Cricetulus griseus: one gene and its partner. The protein of the gene in region 1 interacts with the protein of each later gene in a pairwise test. Links are inferred from orthologs where the notes say so. Each region holds a gene or a part of one and is shown on either strand. Other genes may lie near its edges. The genes, in order: Chn1 and Hemk1.

What was found.
Region 2: the proteins of Chn1 (region 1) and Hemk1 interact in binary tests that used the Homo sapiens proteins (3 or more experiments, as listed by UniProt). The two-hybrid records come from large-scale screens. The link is inferred for Cricetulus griseus from reciprocal best matches to the Homo sapiens genes CHN1 and HEMK1.

What each region holds. Positions count from the first base shown.
Region 1 is NC_048599.1:101,528,401-101,532,215, reverse strand, and holds the end of Chn1 (N-chimaerin), read right to left. Parts: intron 2,932-3,815; coding exon 2,826-2,931; intron 1,457-2,825; coding exon 1,285-1,456; 3' UTR 608-1,284; downstream 1-607. UniProt on the Homo sapiens protein: GTPase-activating protein for p21-rac and a phorbol ester receptor. Involved in the assembly of neuronal locomotor circuits as a direct effector of EPHA4 in axon guidance.
Region 2 is NC_048597.1:215,506,619-215,510,433, forward strand, and holds part of Hemk1 (MTRF1L release factor glutamine methyltransferase), read right to left. Parts: intron 3,238-3,815; coding exon 3,103-3,237; intron 2,810-3,102; coding exon 2,745-2,809; intron 2,470-2,744; coding exon 2,420-2,469; intron 1,031-2,419; coding exon 922-1,030; intron 259-921; exon of another isoform or gene 135-258; coding exon 39-134; intron 1-38. UniProt on the Homo sapiens protein: N5-glutamine methyltransferase responsible for the methylation of the glutamine residue in the universally conserved GGQ motif of the mitochondrial translation release factors MTRF1, MTRF1L, MRPL58/ICT1 and MTRFR.

The DNA of each region.
Region 1 (3,815 bases):
TGAACCGCCACAGAGTACTGGGATTACAGGTGTGAACCACCACAGAGTGCTGGGATTATAGGTGTGAATTACCACACAAGTTGTGCTTAATTGTTTAAAGCAGGAAGGAACTTCAGTTCTAGTGGGTGCTCATTTAACAGTCCAAGAGACAGAACAAGATGGCCATGCTCAAAGCCACATGGCTGATTGGTGGCAGTCCCAGGACACAGATCTCAGGCTCCTGGCATCTGGTGCAGACCTCTTTTCTGTCTGACGAGCTGCCTTTAACTTCGGTGGTATGTTCAAGCTCATGCATACCACCCTAGCTGTTCCAGACAACCCAGGTAGGTATTCAGAAGTCGCCCTTTCAGTGAACCCTCTGCACCTTATGAAGCTAAACTGCCCCCAAAGTGGTGAAATATTAGATTTCTGCCAGAGCAATAGGAGAAGACAATAAATCCAACAAGCATATGCTGATTCTAGGTGGCTGAGGTTATTTAGGAGGTTACCACAATGCCTTAGTGACCAACAGGCAGGGGAGGGAAGCAATTGGTGTTAAACTAATGCCAAATACAATTTTCTATTTTCCCCATGACAAGGAAAAAAAGCTATGAATAGTTTTGATTTCTAAAAGCCAAATTTAATAAATTAATAATGCATGCCAGGTAAAAATATAACTTTACAGCTGAAAACCAATAATTTAACAGAAGATGCTGTGTGGTGCATTTTTATTGATAGGATAACTTACTGAAGTAACAGGCCTGAAAACACACTTGCTTTTGCTGAAGAGAAAGCACTATGTTGGAGAAGGAGAAGCTGGAAAGGAACTGTTGTGGAGTTGGCATATGGTAAAGTGATGGTGATGCAATAGCCAGGGCACTGCTTATGTGTGTGTGTGTGCAAGCATCAGAAACCAATGGCATGGACCCCAAAAGCAAAGTCATGACAGTTTACTCTGGGAAGCATGCTGGGTGACAACCACAGACAAGCCAGGACAGAGAGGTGATGCAGGTACAAGTCTGTGATTCCTTGATGTGGGGTTTCCTCACCAAACAGGGGTAATCATGCAGTAGCTTGAGTTTCTCTTAACATGATAAACACCCAGGATTACCAGAACCGGAAAGCGTGTGTTCGCTGTTTTACAAGGACAGCTGAGTGGTGCTACAGAAATGACAGAAAGTTCCTTCATTTAAATCCGGGTATTTGGTCAAACCTCTAACCAAGAAACAATGCAGCTAGTGAAGCTAATTAAATTACTAGAAAACCTTCCTTCATGTGTAAACCATTTCCCCTTAAATGAAAGCTCTAAAATAAAATGTCTTCATTTTTGATCAGCAGCTCCACCACCAGTCTCTGGTAGCGAATGTCATTCAGGGCGGCCATTGGATCGAGCTCTGGGGACCTCATGAGGGTTGGCCCAAACACGATCCCAAGGTTCTCTGCACTCATCAGATTCTCCTTCTCATGAAGGGTCACTCTGAAAGACACAAGTGCAACACAGATGACTTCACTGACACAGGCTCTTCGTCAAGTCCAAACCTCCAAATGGAACCAGAGCCACATCAAGGCTTGTGTTCACTGGCCAGCTCTCCCAAGTTGTTTTTCCGTGCTTCTCGGAAACATCAAGGAATGTGACTTCTTTTGAAGTAGGTCATACTGATAAAAAACTTAAAGTCCTGGTGATGGCTGGGCTCACATCTGGACTGTGTGGGTTCTGATACTTGTGGACTCTCCTTCTCAGATGTTATTTCTGAAAATGGAGGAGGTGGAGGAGGAAGAGGTCTGCCCTTCCTTTACTTTGGCTCTCAGCTCCTCCTGGACCTGTCTGCAAAGTGAACCCTGAGTGTATAGGAGAGCAGCTGTGAGAGCAGAAGAGTGGCTCAGGGAGGACAATCAGGCTCTGCCTCTCTTCCTGCTACCCTACAGCATCAGTGCAACCATCTTAGAAAATGGCTACTTTATGACAGAACTAAAGCCAACTATGCAGCAAACTTTACGAATGGGATTAGTTGTTAGCATACTCAAAGAAAGTTTTAACTCACAGTGCCTTTAAAGGGGGAAAGAGCTGGGTGTGTGGTTCACACCTTTAATCCCAGCACTACAGAGGTGAGGAAGGCAGATCTCTGTGAGGTGGAGATGAACCTGGCCTATATAGTAAGTTGCAGGTCATCCAGGGCTATATGGCAAGACACTGTCTCAAAAACCGGACTAGAAGGAGGAGGAGCAAAGAAAAAAAGAAAAGAAGAAAGGCGCAGGTATCCACGAGTGACTGTAATGTCATGTGCTTTTGGATGACGCATGCTTTGGGGCATATAGAATTTTTGTTTCTAATTGATTTTAGAGTTTGAGGCCCTAAATCCATTGATGTCATGTAACTGTGAAATTTTTGTTTCAACTCACAGAGAATGATCATCATCAGTCATAAAACAGTGTAAAATTCTAACTGAAAGGATTCTTCCTTCCTCCATCACTGTTTATGCCACTGTCCAGTGTTGGTAACAGTAGTTAATTGTCTAAAATCCTATACCAAGATTGGAGCAATAAGCTAAGAAAAAGGAGTTGCCTCACAAACTGACAGCAGCATCCCTTTCTCCTTCTACAAAATGCTCTCCAACATCTGCAGTATACTAGCATACTCACAAACAGGTCCTAGAACTACAAGGCCTGGGTGTCGGCATGAGGCTGGCATGTGGTACTGCTGTGCACAATATTTTTAGCACCCTTTCCGAACTAACGCAGTTTCTCACAAGACAATGCCGCTGTGCACCTACACATTCACTCAAGAGAACGTGTCCCTTCTTTCACCTTTTGCTTAATTTTATTCTTGAAATTTGGTTGTAACTTGCCTCTTTAGATGTGCCATGAGGTACCGGAGGGTTTCGCAGTGGGCAGGCGGCAGCAGTCTCAGTGCTTCATGAAGGGTCTCCAGCTGCTCATCAGGGTCCATAATTTCTACAATAGCAAGGAGGGAGGATGCTCTAGCAGAAAACTGATGTGACTGCCTAGGAATATTCTCCCGTGATGCTTTTGTACAGCAAGTGAAAAACAGTATCTCACTGAACCTTGCTCATAACCCAAAAGTAGCTGTCCAAGGCCATCTTAGCTTCAGTGTGGAAACAGGGCTTAATGGGCTTCCCCCAGCCCACTTGAGGGTCTTATGGTCTGGCAACTGAAGAAAATGGACACACTAGGTATTCAGAATGTAACTGTAACAAATCCAGACACATGCAGACACACAAATAAAGCCTTATACACTCTAATGAATTCATCTGAGAACATTATAGATATACATATTTCTCAGAATATTTTGGAAACCCCTGTAGTATACAAGACAAGCTAGCCTACTGCCTCTTGGGACTCCTGGCAAAGTCTTACTGACAATGTTTTTTTTTCTTTGCTTTTAATGATGTTGCTTATCTTTGTAGTGGTATGGGCAGAACCCACACCTCATAAATACTAGGCAAGCACTCTACTACTGAGGAATACCCCAGTCCTTTTCTTTCTAAGAAATGTATCATCTAACATTTGCTTGCTATATGTATTATGCTGTGTGTTATAGAGCAAAATGAATTCTCCCTTCAAAGCATGAGGACTCTCCATTTCTTAGAACATGTTCTGAAGAACACCCAACAGGCAGTTAGCTCTAAGTGTGCTATGCCATGGTGGCATCCTGTGTTAAGGGGGTTCTTCCAAAGGAGTCCACCATGAAGAGAAGATCTAGACAGCTGAGATCTGCACTAAGGGCTCACACACCAGCTCTTCACTGTAAGAGCTCTGCTCCATCTGCCAATCATACCTGTAACACAAACAGCTGAAGCTGTTGCACTTCTGTGCTC
Region 2 (3,815 bases), on another chromosome or scaffold:
AATTACACAATGGAAGTGGAGGAGGCCAGGATCCATACCCAGAGGCATTCAGAAGCCGGGGCGCCAAGGTCAAGATGTGGGTAATGATGTCCATGCCTTCCTCACCACCATCCAGGGCCACCAGGTCTTCATAACTGAACGGAAAGCATGGCAGGTAAGAGCCTGGGGTGGCCAAGCAGGCCTTCACAAAGGGCCCAGTGGGACTGAAGACTCTGGGTTGACAGGTAAGCTGAGGGAGGATCCATTAGCAAATGGTTCCTAAACAGATAACAGGTTTTACTTTCCCCCATAGGGCAGGGCTAAATGGACTTGCTGAGTCCCACTGACAGACAGCCCTCAGGGCATGAGGTGCCCTCAGAACCTAGCTGTTCCTGCTCTTGATCTGAGGACATTTAAAACCCAATCCTGACTACTTCTTTGAGCCCAGAAAAGAGGCTCCAGCACCCACCCTGTGTCACCAGTGCTTATGTAGGGACACATGGTTACCCTGAGTTTCCCATCCTTATAAATGTAGGATGGTTTTTCCACAACCAGAGGTTTCAGTGCTGGCTTTTCCATGAAATCCTCACGGGACCTTAGACAGGGCACCCTCCCTCTCCCGGCCTTGGTCTGGTGTAAAATGACACATCCCTCTACGAGTGCCTTCTATTAGGTCTCGCTATGCCGGATGCCAAGTCCTTCCCATGGTCCTGCAAGCACTACCATTCCTCTTTCAAAGCAGGAAATGGAGACTCAGGGAGGCTAGGGGTCTCCAGGAGTCAGAAGTGCAAAGCTGAAAATGGTCCCAGTAAGGCAGCAAGCTCTAAAGTGTGCCTCTTTAACCCTGCTGTCCCCCTGGGCCCCCCTGTTTTCTCCAGATGGAGTCTTCTAGCCCAGGCCAATCCTACTAAAGCTTCTCTGCCACGCCCACCTACCCTGTACCTGCAAATCTCTGGGGCCAGTTGTTCCATGTCCTTGTGGAAGATGTAGGGAGGGTTACTGACCACCAAGTCCACAGGGCCCCAGGGCAAAAGGCGTGTCCAGCACCCTTCTGTGGGCAAAGAGGACACATAGAACGAACTGGTCTACTGAGAAGGAAAAGTTGGTAGCTCTACCTGCCACCTTGTCCCTTAGGTAGTCACTGTCCTCAAGTCATATTGAGGGCCTGTCTTTAGACCTGGTCAGACTTGAAGATGAGTAGCCAGAGTCCCCACTTAGCAGACTGGCCAGGAGTGGACATGTTCTGACGTGCAGCCCTTCACCTAGCATGCCCATGTTTTCTCTGCTTCTGTCAAGACCTCCTCATTAAGCAATATTCAAGTGCCACCTCCAGTAAGCCCTCCCTGATTACACAGGCAGAGGAAGGGCTTCCCACTCTCTGCTTTATAATCAATATAATCTCAAAGCATAGGGAGGACAGGCCGCCCGCAGCCAACCCTTATGGCTGTTGTCTGGGTCCCACTTGTACCAGATGCAAAACCGGGTGCATCACACTAACATAAAGCCCGGGGATTCCATGGCTAATAGAAGGATCAGCACTGGAGCTGGAAACCTGAGGATACTGCAAAGCCTGCCACAAGCCTGGCATAGCCTGGTGGAGGCAGAGAGAGATAAATATGTATTTAGGCCCTAAAGTTTTCTTTCTTTGAGAGCTTGTTTGGAGGTTCTAGCAGGGGAGTGCAGCTACTCGTATACCCTTGACGGAAGACCAGTCCTCCTCTATTCGGGGAAGGTCGTCCTCTTCGACCGAGTGGGGAGGAAGGGGACACCCGCCTAGCCAGCCAGATCAGCCGAATCAACCCTGGCGATCAATGGGGTGACAGATGTCGGGGCCAAATCGCCCTCACATCCAAGTTTTCTTTCTTTGTTGTTGCTATTTTGTTTGATTTTTGTTTTTGTTTTTTGAGATGTTTTACTTTGTATCACAAGCTGGTCTAGAACTCACTATGTTGAATTCACAGGAGTCCTCCTGCATCCCCATTGCTAAGGTAACAGGTGGAGGCCCTCACAGCTGGCTCTGAACTGCTTTCCTTTGAACATCTGTTTAATCTCTTGCCAGTAAACAAACACTAGTTAAACTTATCAGTTATAGGGGATCCAGGAGAAGAAAGACTTTGTGGCTGGGAAGTGGCGGCACGTACCTTTATTGGCACCACTCAGGAGGCAGAGACAGACAGCCGGGGCTACACAGAGAAACCCTGTCTCAACACCTCCCTCCCCAGCAGAAAGACCTTGTGGCTAGTCCCTTCATGGGTCAGATCAGCCGAGGAGATGACAACAACAGCACCCAGTCTGTCCTCAGCAAGGGCTGCTCTGAGACGGCCCACTGGCCCACAGGTATGGTTACTGGGGAACCCTTACCACATTTCTGCAGTGCCTCACCCACCAGCAAACCTTCTATCCAGGACACCCACCCCAAGAAGACGAGTAGGGGGTGTACCTGAGGTTACATCAAGGCGAGTGATCCGAATCCTGTCCTGCAACTGAAGCCTGGAGAGATGGGGAGGTGGTGGTGAGCACAGAATGCAAGCTGTTGCCCTTGGCTACGAGGATCAAGAGGGAAAGTGAGCCCTTCTTAGATCAGCAACACAGCTCATAGTCCATCCATTTATAAACCCGTGGGACCCATGCCAGGCCACCCTCATCGCACCTCTCCCTCAAGAATGGAAGTCAGACACTAGGTTTGATACTAGAATAAAGGTCAAGTTCAGGTCCCAAAGTCTAACTCCCCAGTGCTGGCTCTCTGGACCTCCCAGCCCATATACCTCTGAGCATTCTCACGGGTCAGGCTAACAGCGGCTTCTTCCTTATCCACAGCAATGACTTGACTCTGCCCCAAGAACAAAGCAAAAGAGGTGGAACTCTGGGAAATGTTTGTCTGGGAACCTTCAGCTAGCTCCCCAGAAGAAAGAAACTTGTAGCAAAGCTTTCCTATAGTTAGGTTCCAGCCAGACCAACAGGGATGGAAGTCAGAGGTGACACCATGCTGTGCTGGGCGCACCTTCCTGTTCTGGCCACTTTCCCTCAGTGCTTCTGCAGAGGACGTGGAGAAAGGGCCAGTGGGTGACTCTCTCAATGTCAGGTAAAGGCAGGGTAGAGAGATGCAGGGGTGGGGGGGCTTACCTGTGGGAGCTGACTCAGAAGGCTGAGGGCAATGGCTCCTGATCCACAGCCCACCTCCAGAATGAGGGGACCACCTTTGGTTCCCACTGCAGGGGGCCTCTGGGCCACTTCCTCTAAAACCCATTCAACCAGTTCCTGGAAGGCAGAGGGTCTGGATCAGACTGGGTGCCATTCTTGCTCCTGGGGAGCCTTAACAAAGCGGTCCAAGCAGCTGGCTCCTAGTGAAGGCAGATGGGAGACTGCCAAAGCCAAAGTGATCTTGACATCAGCAAGGACTCCGGGTGGGTCATTCTGTCCCTGCCTCAGCTTACTCATCTGCAAAATGGAGCACTCCCCTCAGGAACACAGTAAAGATTAATCAGAATCACATAACTGATCCCTTATCTGCTGCGTTTGTGCACAATGAACCCCAGCTATGCCATCCAGACATCTTCCCATTTTTACACTCACAGCAATGCTGAGAACCATATCTGATGGCCAATCCCTCTATGCCTAGTCCTGCTTCTAGAGCACTAATTTGCTAGACCATCACCACTGGCTCATGAAGAAACACCCAAGAGTCAAGGCCCTTATCTGGAGCCTGAACTGTGGAGCTGAGGATATAGTGCAAAGGAAGAACACTTGCCCAGCATATAAGATCCTGGGTTTCACCCCCTAGAACCATGGGGGTAAAAAAAATAAACCAGGGTGGCTGGTGTGTCCTCAGCTTTCTC